3 linked regions of the Oryzias latipes genome follow. The main gene of each other region encodes a partner of the protein of the gene in region 2 in a complex. Links are inferred from orthologs where the notes say so. Each region holds a gene or a part of one and is shown on either strand. Other genes may lie near its edges. The genes, in order: zmat2, ik and sf3b3.

Region 1 (4,350 bases), about 20 Mb from region 2:
TTCACAGTGCAGATGGACCATGACCCAAAGCAAACTGCAACCGCAACTAAAGGCCTTCTTAAGGGAAAGAAGTGGAATGTTATGCAATGTTTCACTTGCTGAAGACAAAACTGAAGGTAAAATGCCCCAACAACAAGCAGGAACTGAAGACCGATGCATTGGAGGCCTGGCAGAGCATCACCAGGGATGAAACCCAGCGTCTGGAGATGTCTGTGAGTTCCAGACTTCATGCTGGAATTGACTGCAAAGGATTTGCAACCAAGTATTAAAAAGTAAATGTCTGATTTATGATTATTGTTCTGACCATTACTTTTGGTTCCTTAACAAGTGGGAGGCACAGATGCAAACTGTTGTAATTCCTACACAGTTCACCTGATCTGGATGGAAATACCCACAAATTAAAGCTGACAGTCTGCAGTTAAAGCACATCTTGTTCGTTTTATTTCAAATCCATTTTGGTGGCATATAGAGTCAAACATGTTGGAATTGTGTCGCTGTCCCATTATTTATGGACCTGACTGTATAAAATGATCCACGTTACATCTGCGCTCTTGGCCCCTCCCTAAAGCACAGGTGTACTTACGTTTCTTGCCGTTGATGTGATCCAGAAAGTTGATGGAGTCTTTGACCACACAGTCACAAACATTGCAGTAATATCTGAAAAAAAAAATATGTCGGAACCAGAACCCAGACCTGTCCGTTTCTGCTCCACAACTTTTTCTTATTGGTTCAAAGAGTTTCAGTTTTCCATTTTTCCAAACCCAAAGCCGTCAGGAACTCACCCGCCCATCTCCGCCTGAGGGGTGGTCTTGGTGATGACAATAGTTTTCCCCAGTTTGGACTCCAGATCCACTTTGTAGTCTCTGTGCCGCAGGAGCTCCCGCTTGACGGGAGGGACAGGTTTTCCTGAAAGAGCCAACAGGTCATGCGTCAGGGGTGATAAGCGATTGACCCCCAAGGGTCCCCAAAGAACGGAGAGCGCTGCCCTCACCATCCCTGAGCTCCCGCTCGCGCTCCTCGTTCAGCCGCTTCTGAGCGAGATTCTCGTACTCGTCCTTGTCCCATTTCCGCCGGAAGTCGTTCTTGCTGGACTGGAAGACACGAGAAGATGACTCAGAGCGCCTCGATTATCTTCACATCTCAACAAACATTCAGCTGATGAAGACGAGGAGCTTTTACTCCTCCTGACAAAAGAGCAACAGCTTCTCAACTCAACTTCATTGATAAAACTCTAAAACAGAACCACAGAGACACAACAACAGAGAAGGAACAAAAGCAGGAAAGCCTCATGCTTCGTCAGAAGAATGTTTAAATGCAGACGGTGAAGATGCCTGTTGGACTGTCAGAGCTGACGCCTTGTGCACCTTCCAAGCTCAAACAGGAGGAGCTGGCTCTTCCCAGAGGTTCCTCCTGGATCTCTGTCCCTCCAGGGAAAGATATGAGCTTAACCGAGATTCCAAAAGCTCAGAGAGGTATGGATGAACGCACAAATCATGGGGAACGTGTGACCCATGATTTATGCGTGAGCCATGCTGCTGCTCGTATTTAATGGTGTTTGGGAAAAGGGCTGTTCCTACTCCGTGACCCGAGATAAGGGGAGGGCTCAGGCCGAACATCCAGCTGACGGGAAGCATCCATGTTGGATAAACAGATGAGTCCAAAGAGATCCTTCATAATGAACATTAGATTTTTCAGAAATCTCCGTTCAACAGCCTGATCCTGGCTGCAGCTGCAGCCTGAAACTGATCAGCTCTCCAAATGCATGGTGCCGTCAGGCTCCAGGGGGATACGCCTGCTGGTGGAGCTGTGCTTACAGGACAGGAAACCCTAAGTCACTCTAGACCAGTGTTTTTCAACCTTTTTTGAGCCACGGCACACTTTAACCCTGAAAAAGATCCCGCGGCACACCAGCATCCAAAAAAAAAAAAAAAAAGCAGAAATTCATGGTCTGTATTGATCGACAGCTCTTCCCTTTCATTCATATTATCAAAGTAAACATTTTCAACAGGGGTGGGTTTATAAATTTTATAATATAGCAACAGAAACATTGTTTCATATTTGCAAAAACCAAAAAGGACATTATCCTTATTATTACAGTTTCATTTATTATCATCACAGTCGGCTTTACGAAATAAACTTCAAGAGCTTTTATTTTGCCACACCGGAATTCGTTACACCTTTGAATTAGTCCTTTAAAGATAAAAACTAACGGCGGTTGAGTCAAAACGTTTTTGGTACTAATTTTTTTTTTTTTTAAAAAGGGCCGTAAAATTCTGCAAATAAAGTACCCAAGCGTCAGAGCGAGTTAGCCGCTGCTAGTCCGAGGCCGCGCTTCTAACGGCAGCAGCTGATGTCTGTAACGGTTACAGTCAAAACGCCTCCACGGTACCAAATATAAAGTGAAGAATTTTAATCTTGTTTATTGAATTAAACTGTATTACAACAAACAGGGGCAGAGAAATTCTGCTTGGAAACTCACCCCACTGCCGGACGCCATCTTGTTTACCTACGGAAAATACGTCACCGGATGTTGCAGCTCGTCATTGCTAGTTTCCTGTCTAAATTTAGTTCTATCGGTAGAGGAGACATCACGTGATTCCTCAAGGGGGGAGAGCATCGCCATCTTGGTGAGGTCAAATTACTGCTGTAGTGCATGCATGTGAACACATTTCTTGCAAAATACCAGTTCATTTTTCGGGTTTCAACTGCCAAAATCAGAGAAATGAGTCCACGAAGGAGGAAGGCATAACATTTCACAGGTAAGTATTATATATTTTTTTCTTTTAATGCTGCAGGGGCATCATTAATCATACACATGTTTTCATGCATGATGCTGCAGGGCGATTATCAACATGTAGGCATGATGTACGTATAATTTGCTGTCGATATAAATGTAAACTTTATTGTGTTAAACCTGTATACATTATACTAGGCTATTATAGTAATAGAGATTTATACATTTCTGACTCAGTGACTGAAATTTTATTGCAGGTTTCCAATGGATTCAGACTTAAGGAAAAAGTGGGCCTTAGCAATAAAAAGAGCTAACCCAGATGGATCACTGTGGTACCAACTAGTAATACAGTCTGGCTATGTTCAAAACAATTTGAGGAAACAGATTTTGATGAGACTGGCCAGACTGTTAGCTTGAAACCCGACACTAAACCAACTGTGTCACACAAATTTATCACTAACATGAATCAGGAGGTAAATCTATTTCTTTTCTTTGTTTTTTTAAAGGGGAAAATCTGTTGTTGACTTTTGGACTTTTTGTTGACTTATTATTGATTTATTATTATCATTTATTATTATTTACCTATTATTGATTTATTTTTATCATTCAATATTATTATTGACTTACTATTGATTTATTATTATTATTATTTATTGATTCATTATTATTATTATTATTATTATTATTATTATTATTATTATTATTATTATTATTATTATTATTATTGACTTATTTATATATTGTTATTAATTATTATTATTATTGACTTATTATTTATATTTGTTATTTATTATTATTATTGACTTATTATTTATATATTGTTATTATTTATTATTATTATTGACTTATTGTTGGGCTTTTCTAAATAATTTCAATTACATGTCAAAGAGGTCTAAAACTTGGAAATGTTTAAAAATTAAAAACAATGCATTTTTCATTAAAGTTTGAACTTTTAAAGCTGACTGTTTCTCTTATTTAAAAGCATCAAATGATGTATATATATAAAAATTATATACATTTATCATGTGTTTATTTATATGTATAAATATATAGAAATTTGAATAAATATAAATTATATAAAAGCTACTTAGATGCTACCAAAGGCTAAAGAAATCATTGTCATGTAGGCGTCGTTGACCTCACCAAGATGGCGTTGCGTTCCGCCACCGTCGGCCAGGCTTCCCAAGCGGGCGTGTCTCCTCTAGCGATATAACTCATTGAGTTCAGACAATTCACTGGCTATGTCCGAATTCCCACCCTAATCCCTAACTACTAATAAAACTATAAGTGTGGGACTATCCAATGTCCCGGATTTTAAAAGCAATTAGGACACCTTGCTGACTTCATTATTTTAAAACTGCGAATATGACATCACTGATTTCCCAAAGTTAAAATCTAATCAATATGAGCAATGCATGAAGACTATTTATGAATCCACTGTGCTCTGATGATGAAATCATTGAGTGTTCATACAAAACAATAAAATACATTTTTGCTCTCAAAAATTGTTCAATTGCATTGTGGTCTACACACGCCAATCTAGTAGCGAGCATCAATACACACTAATCTTTCGCAAATAATTTCTAAACCACTTGATTTTGAAATTTGAACAGCTT
Region 2 (3,328 bases):
TCATTGGTCTCCTTGAAGCGTCGTGTCTTCCTGCCCTCAGACATTTTGATGCCATATTGGAAGGCAGCCCTGCAGAGACAGCCCCCAGTAAGAACCACACTAACCCCTACAGACCGACACAGAATGAAGAGAACACCCCGCCTGTCAGCCACAGCTGAGGGAATAACTCACTTGGGGAGAGCCTCCTTGTTGTTCATATAATCTGAATACTCCTCCTGAGTGTCGAAGTCCCAGCGGCCCAGAGGACCCTTCTTGTTGCCCTAAAGCAGAGAAGCCATACCAGTGACTCTGTAACTCAGAAAACAACTGCATGCTGGGAAATGTAGTTACCTGGTCCATCTTGCTGTAGTCAACTTCTTCATCACTGTCAACGGCGAGATCATCCATTCTGCAACGCAAAAATGTTTACCTTACCTGCTATGGGGTTGTGAGACTGTCAGGTTGTGCATTTGTAGGGTTGTCAGTGTGTCAGGTTGTGTGTTTGAAGCATTGTAAGTGTGTGAGATTGTGCATTTGAAGGGTTGTTAGTTTATCAGCATGTGGGGTTGTGCGTTTGTATCGTTGTTGGCGTGTGGGGTTGTGTGTTTGTAGCGTTGTCAGTATGTGCTTTTTTTTGGCGTTGTCAGTGTGTCAGGTTGAACCTTACGTTGCCGGGTAACACTCTGCATACGAGTTGGATCCCCCAAAGAAATCTCCCAGCTGCTCTTTGCTGGAATCTCGTCTCACAGATCCTGTTTGTTTTTATTAAAGACAACGCTGATCATGTGATCCGGAAGCCCTACCCACTTTTAAACAACTACAACTAAACATGCAAAAGGGAGGCTCCGCCCCCTCCGGAAGCTATCAAACAGGTAAAAAGAGGATATGGCTCCTGGCCCTGCCACTGGCTGCCTGCAGCTCCTCCAAAGTTCTTGTTGATCATCTTGATGTGCTCCTGCACTGATCCGGGACCTGCCAGGTGAGCAGGATGGATGACATAATCATCAACAGGCGTTACAAAACACCACTGGTAATTGATATTTACTAATAATATATGAATTCAGAGGTTTACCTGTATCCACCTCCAACACCTGCACACACAGACACACACATACATATAGTTAGTATACAACACTCTGCAGCCCCTCCCCTCTTCTCTTTACAACCCACCTGCTGCTCCTCTCCTCTGGGTTTCTCAAAGTAGTTGTGCCTCCTCTTAGCATCATCATCCCGCTCTCTGTGGCGCTCCTTCTCCTTGGGGGGTTTGGGGACGGTGGTTGGGATGTAGTCCCCGATGTCATCAAAGATGCTGAGACATAAAGACATTACAGAGGCCCTGACTAACAAAGGGGGCAATAATGGTGATGGGAGGGCAGACACCAACTAACCTGAGGTCAGTCTCCGGAGCTCTTTTATCATCCAGTTTACCTGAAACACACAGACAGAGTTAATCTATGGTGTACTGAGCATGCTCACATGCAGATGCATCAGGCTCACCTTTGTCCTTCTTCTTCATCTTCTTGTGTCGGGTTCCCTGCCTCAGGTAGGACAGGATCTGGGTCAGTTTTGAGATCACGATATCGTTGGTGGTCAGGGTCGTCTGAGCCTGTTGCCAACATGGAGACACGTCAGAGTTCAGCATCGACCATATCCACTGGCCTGGGACAGCTGTGGATTTAGAAACTCGCCTCCATGCTGGGACAGTCAGCTTTGCTGCGGATCAGAGTCGTGGGAATGTCGGTGTCGGTAAACTCGTCATCCAGATCGATCACGTATGCCATCCTGCCGGGCAGGAACAGCTCATTTCTTTCCAAAGCCCCGGATCGGAACACGACCCGGTAGATGTTCCTGCCTGAGAAGAAGCAGCATTTAAAGAACAGACTGTCATGAAAGCATCCTTCAACATACACCTGAGGTCTTAAAGACTTCCAGTCCTATCTATTCTTAATTGGGGGGGGGGTTTCTTTGAATGGAAGGTGGGTAGACTCAACTAAGCTCTCACTTCGCTTTGTCTCAATCCAAACACACATTCTGGAACATTAAGGAGGTTGGCAGAGGAACTTCAGATTAAGGTTCCTGTCTCACTTCAGGCTTCATTTGGGCAGTTCAGAATCCTCTGAGAAATCTCAGAGATTATCCATCTAGTGTTTCAAACTCTGTGGTCCCGCTGCATAGAATAAGAGGCGTGGCTTCGGATGTCAATTAATCAAGTCAACCAAATAAGAGTAAACTTTTTCCAATGTGGGGGAGGGGATGAGGTCATCAACTCCAAACTAAACACGTAGCTTTATTTTTCAAGCACACAAGCCTAAATGTTGGTGAGATTTAATATAAATTTGAGATTAGAGCAAATTTCAGCTGCACTGAGAGTTTGCTTACTATGTTGGCCTCACCTGGAGGACATACACTTACAGAAAAAAAAAACAATTGATCTATTAGAAGAGCGATCACTGAAAAAGTAGCATAAAGTAGCAAAAAGTAGCATCTGCACACACTCACCAAGACGGGTCTTAAACTCCATCTTCTCCTCCGGCTCCACATCCTTCCTGTCAGACAGGTAAACCGACAAACAGTCAGTAAATCAGACAGATAGAATATAACGATGTGTGCTCTGCTTTCATACTTGGCCTCCTTCTGGACTTTCTCTATCATGTCTTCTTCTTCCTTCTCCTTGCTAGTGATTTCTGCTCTCACCTAGAAGATAGATTACATGTGTTCTGTTAATCCTCCTGACCCGACTCTGCAGGTCCAGATGTTTGGAGCAGCCCAGCCTGACCTTCTGCAGCAGAGCGAAGTCCAGACCTTTCACCAAGTGAGTGTGCTCCATGTCACCTCCCAAGAACTTGGACTCCTGGATGAGCTGTCGACGCTTCTCTGCTGCAGATTTGTCACTGAGAAGGTCAGAGACATAGGTACATTAGAAAGCACAGGCACATCAGGAAACAGTGGAAAATCAGGCAACAAGGGAACATCAGGAAACCCGGGAACATCAAGAACATCAGGAAACCCCGGAACATTAAGAAACACAGGAACATCAAGAACATCAGGAAACCCCGGAACATTAGGAAACACAGGAACATCAGGAAACAGGAACATCAGGAAACACAGGAACATTAGGAAATACAGACAGGAACATCCTTTTGCTGCAGCTGTCTGCAGTGTCATGTTCTGCGCTCTGGTACTCACGCCTCAGCAGTGGGTCCAACGGCTCGGTAGTTGGCCGTAGTGCTGATTAGCTCCGTCTCCTCATAGTCCTTGTTGACGCCGTCCCGCCTCTCTCGCGCTCGGTCACGGTACTTCTCAGCAAGCTCGCGCTCTCGCTCCATCTCCTGCTGTCGCAGTTTAGCAT
Region 3 (4,250 bases), on a different chromosome or scaffold from region 2:
ACCCAATGTGGTCTTCTTTTGCATCCTATAATAAAATTGTACAGAAAAGACGTCAATAATTTGCCACAAACAGTTTTTTAAAACACCTGCAGCCCGATGTTGAGGTAGAGGAAGCCCATAGTGCCTTTTTCTCCAAGTTCGTCCTGTTTCTCCACACCTCCCATCTCCACGATGCACAGACTCTCTGGCTGAGCAGGGAGGGCCTGCATACTCAACGGCTGAAGACAATCCTAGAGGGGATAAAAATGGAAAGGCTTTAAACAAATCTCTGCACGTACAAGCATTATAAAGTCTGACTTTAAAATGATAAACATGTTAAGTACAAAATAACTTTTCCCCCCCAGATTAATGTAATGCAGCCACTAAAAACCCTTTCAAAGGCACCTCTTTTACTAATTGTAACTTGATGTTTCTCAGGACAGACAGACCTGCTCCACTTTAGTAATAAACCAACTTAAACCATAAATATGAGTGTCGCCACATGGTAGGTTACTCTCTGGCAACTGGGAAGGGCTTAACGACAAACTGCGCCCTATTTTAAAGATCGGATATTTTGTTTTATTTTTTAAAGTGCAGTACGAGAACTTTTTTTTCCTTTAATGCGGGTTTAAACAAAGAAATCATTTAAGCTTATTAATAAGTGGACTTTAAATGGTCAAAGTTCTGGTTTGTTGTTTTGAGACGTTTAATCTTTCCATTTGGAAGTTTTGACACTGGATTGTGTTCATTTTACTGTCAAGTTGCCTTCAATTCATTGAAACCAGAGCTAAACCAATACTTTTTTTGTTCAGATTGCTGAACTCTAACAATAAACAAATGTGCTGTGTAGAAAATAGTGTTTTCAACTATTTTTGTCTAATTATGGAAATTATCACTTAAGAAGCTTTTGCAATTATATTAATAGACAGCTTTAAATGTGTAAACAATTTGAAATTTAACTATTGACATGTGATTAAAAGTAGATTGATTTGAGTCATTTCACCTTTATCCAGATGTTAAATGTCACAACCTGGGAATTCCTGATCTCCAGATATCCAGAAAGGCATTACGTGAAGCATAAAGAAGCTTGTCTGATCCTTGTCACCACTTCTTTGGATCAACGTGAAAAAAGAAACTCTTCTACATTCTGCAGTTGTGATTAAAGTCCAATAAAACTCTGCAGATTCACTCTGAAGTATTTTCCATTTGAGTGTCTGGGTTCTGATGTTCCTGGAAGTCAGTCAGAGATCTGAGCAGCCTCCACACAGAAAAGGGTGTAGCAATTTTATAAAACGCACCAACACCAGCTCACACTGGAAAGTGTTTGAAAAGGATTCAGTGAACATCCCAACAAAAGGAAAAAAAATTACACATTCAAACCGGTTCCTGATGTTAGGAGCACTTTTTACAGGTGTTTGGCAGCAGAAGAGAATGATTAATAGCTTTCCTTCTCTCTGTAGTGTGAATGGCCAAGTCTACATCCATACCTCAGGTTACCAATAAAAAACATTTTTCCCTTTACAGAACCCCACCTACACAGCAGTTGTCAAGATAAACTGCCATTCAGATTTGCATTTGTACCGAAGGGTCCAAGGAGATGATTCGAACGGTGTTGTCGACCAGTCCGACAGCCAGGAAGCGGGAGCGCTGCTCACCCGGCGGGACGTTTGCCAGGCTCATGCAAACCACGTCTGCAGACATCTCCTTCCGCTCCGTGTACTCGTTCAGCTGGCCAGACTACAGAAGACACAAGTATGAGAGGAACACATACACAATTGTCCTCTTTATGAAGCACTGATATCACAAAACACTGTTCCATCTAGTAGAACTTTTAGAAGTGTTCTAATGCTTCCTGCAAACAGCAACCGCACAGTTCTGATTCCTCTTGGATTGATCCCAAAAAAAACTACAAGAACCCAAAGATGATCTACTGGAATGTAATCTAGAACAGTGGCGGTAAACAGTCCCCTCTAATGCTCTAGTGCCAGTTAACCTGAGATGATGCCAAAATCCACCTATAATGTTCATTCAAAGAGGATAAATCTATCCAACACAGAGCTGATCTAATGTAAAATAAAAACACATCTTATAAAACCGATTCGTATTTAGGACATAAAAAAAAATTTTTTTTTTTTTGATAGACAAAATGACCCATCTGATCATTTCATTTACAGAGTTACGGTGAAATTACAACCATAAACTCATTTTATTTAGGTTTTTATTTTTGAACACAGCAGACCGTATGTTTCAAAAAACGGATCAGCGTTGGCTGCCCGCGTCCACACCACATTCAAACTTGTATAAATCCGGCCTATTGGTCATTGCTCGAGTCATTTGGATCAAGTCTATTGACCAATTCCACAGAGTTGCTGCAAAGTATTGATATGTTGCAGGTAACTTGTCCTTTCGATGTTGCACTTAGGGAGCACTAATAAAAGCCTTACCGGGTCCATCTCGAAGTAGACTAGCTCCCCTCCTGTCAGGGCGATAACCACCTGCCTCTGGTTGACGGCGCAGCGGACAATGGTTTTTTTACCAGGAGTTTTCCACTCGTTCACTCGCTTGTCTGCTCTGATGTGGCGAATGCCATCTGGGTACACCTGTCCCCAAAACGGTAAAAAAGAGAAAATACATTTAGCAAAAGAGGCACACAAGGTAGACTACCAAAAAAAAATAAAAATTAAATGCTAGACCAAAACATTTCTGTGAAGAATGGCCTACAGGTGACTTTTGACCCACCTGAACCAGGGCATCTTCTCCCAGCAAAGAGCAGGAGAGAGTGGGTGTTGTTCCCAGAAACCCTGAATCTGTCACTTCCTCCACGGTCTCTCCGATGGACAAAACCAAAGTGGCGTTGACGAAAGACACGATGATGTAGGCATCAAACTCGTCTACAAAAACAGAAGTGTAAGAAAAGGGGCTTAGCTTTTATTTTAGTGCCGTGTTTCTGAACCCCTTTTCTCCAGTCCCACCATGTTTAGGTCAGAGGTGGATCAGGTGTGTTTTATAAAGAAAAAAAAAGTCAAACGTGCATGGCAGCAGTCTGAAACACTGATTTAGAGGAAGACAACTGCTTGAAGTAAACCCTTTATAACAATTATAACATATATATTATATAGCCATACAGAGAAACAAAGTGATGTGTGTGAAAAACAAAAAAACCTCTGCAGTCTTACAATTGAAGCACACACATATATAAAAAGGTTAATGAAAAGAAGCTGAGCTGACACGCGGCAGATTTTTCATTATTTAACTATATCTAATCTATAGATTGAGCGAGGGGCAACTTTTATTGCACTCATTGTACTGATGGAGCAGCTGCTCACACCCCCAGGGGCAGATGTAGACCGTCGGTATCAAGATCAACAGATGAATGAATAAATTACATTAAAACTATTGTTACTTAGTGATTTCAGAGTCAATCTGCTTTCAATCAACAGTCGGGGCAGACGACGATGCAGATGCTTTACATTTCCTGAAATTCACTCGCTGGTGTTTTATGTTTAATTCAAAATGAAAAACCTATATGGCATTTTCAATAGGACAAGGCAGATGTAGTTGTATTTTACAATTTGACAAGAAAAAATAATTCATCAAATACTTTGCGTCATCTAAACTCAACTAAAACATAATTACCCTAAAAATAAAAGTTCTCTGTCTTATATTTGAGATATAGTATAACTACAGTATTAGACTCTTTTGTGTAAATATAAATGTGAAATATTAAATGTAGGGTTACCTTCCACATGTCTGCGTACCGTCCACACAGCATTGGGGTTACCAGGCAGCTCAGAAACAGCCATCTCTGACACCTGAGAACAAGGACACAACTCAGAAAAAGAGGACCAACAAAAAAAGTACAAAAGATAGATTCTGCTTTCTCACTTTTTATTTTATTTTATAATGTTCTTCTGCTTGCATTAAACAATAAAGCATCACATCTACATAACATTTTGGCAGTTTAAAACTCAGTATCGTAGTGTTGCATCACTACTGCATACAAGTATGTTTATGATGAAAGTGTCAAAGAAGAATGGTACTAAATTTAAGGATTTATTGTTTTATTACATTACATCAGGCCTACTATAAGCCAACTGAATGGTTTTTCCTCATTGTTTTTTGCCTATTAGAAAATGTTAGGAAATTATCGAAATTTTTAGTTTTAGTTGTTGTTTTGTAAAACACAAATCATATATCAAACTGAAACAAAAATATGACCCAAAAGTTCAGGTTTTAAGGCAAAAGTTAATTGTTGCATCCTTATTGGTAAC

Evidence for each region.
Region 1: ik (region 2) and zmat2 share a complex: the UniProt entries of both Homo sapiens proteins name them as parts of the spliceosome B complex. The link is inferred for Oryzias latipes from reciprocal best matches to the Homo sapiens genes IK and ZMAT2.
Region 3: ik (region 2) and sf3b3 share a complex: the UniProt entries of both Homo sapiens proteins name them as parts of the spliceosome B complex. The link is inferred for Oryzias latipes from reciprocal best matches to the Homo sapiens genes IK and SF3B3.

The regions. Positions count from the first base shown.
Region 1 is NC_019872.2:3,288,290-3,292,639, forward strand, and holds the start of zmat2 (zinc finger matrin-type protein 2), read right to left. Parts: upstream 2,569-4,350; 5' UTR 2,498-2,568; coding exon 2,480-2,497; intron 1,092-2,479; coding exon 992-1,091; intron 907-991; coding exon 783-906; intron 658-782; coding exon 584-657; intron 1-583. UniProt on the Homo sapiens protein: Involved in pre-mRNA splicing as a component of the spliceosome.
Region 2 is NC_019872.2:23,306,586-23,309,913, forward strand, and holds part of ik (protein Red), read right to left. Parts: coding exon 3,166-3,328; intron 2,871-3,165; coding exon 2,756-2,870; intron 2,674-2,755; coding exon 2,603-2,673; intron 2,526-2,602; coding exon 2,479-2,525; intron 1,832-2,478; coding exon 1,668-1,831; intron 1,586-1,667; coding exon 1,477-1,585; intron 1,408-1,476; coding exon 1,368-1,407; intron 1,289-1,367; coding exon 1,150-1,288; intron 1,071-1,149; coding exon 1,052-1,070; intron 952-1,051; coding exon 867-951; intron 734-866; coding exon 647-733; intron 389-646; coding exon 331-388; intron 261-330; coding exon 172-260; intron 70-171; coding exon 1-69. UniProt on the Homo sapiens protein: Involved in pre-mRNA splicing as a component of the spliceosome. Auxiliary spliceosomal protein that regulates selection of alternative splice sites in a small set of target pre-mRNA species. Required for normal mitotic cell cycle progression.
Region 3 is NC_019864.2:25,110,226-25,114,475, reverse strand, and holds part of sf3b3 (splicing factor 3B subunit 3), read right to left. Parts: intron 3,792-4,250; coding exon 3,719-3,791; intron 2,871-3,718; coding exon 2,719-2,870; intron 2,580-2,718; coding exon 2,424-2,579; intron 1,717-2,423; coding exon 1,561-1,716; intron 231-1,560; coding exon 87-230; intron 1-86. UniProt on the Homo sapiens protein: Component of the 17S U2 SnRNP complex of the spliceosome, a large ribonucleoprotein complex that removes introns from transcribed pre-mRNAs.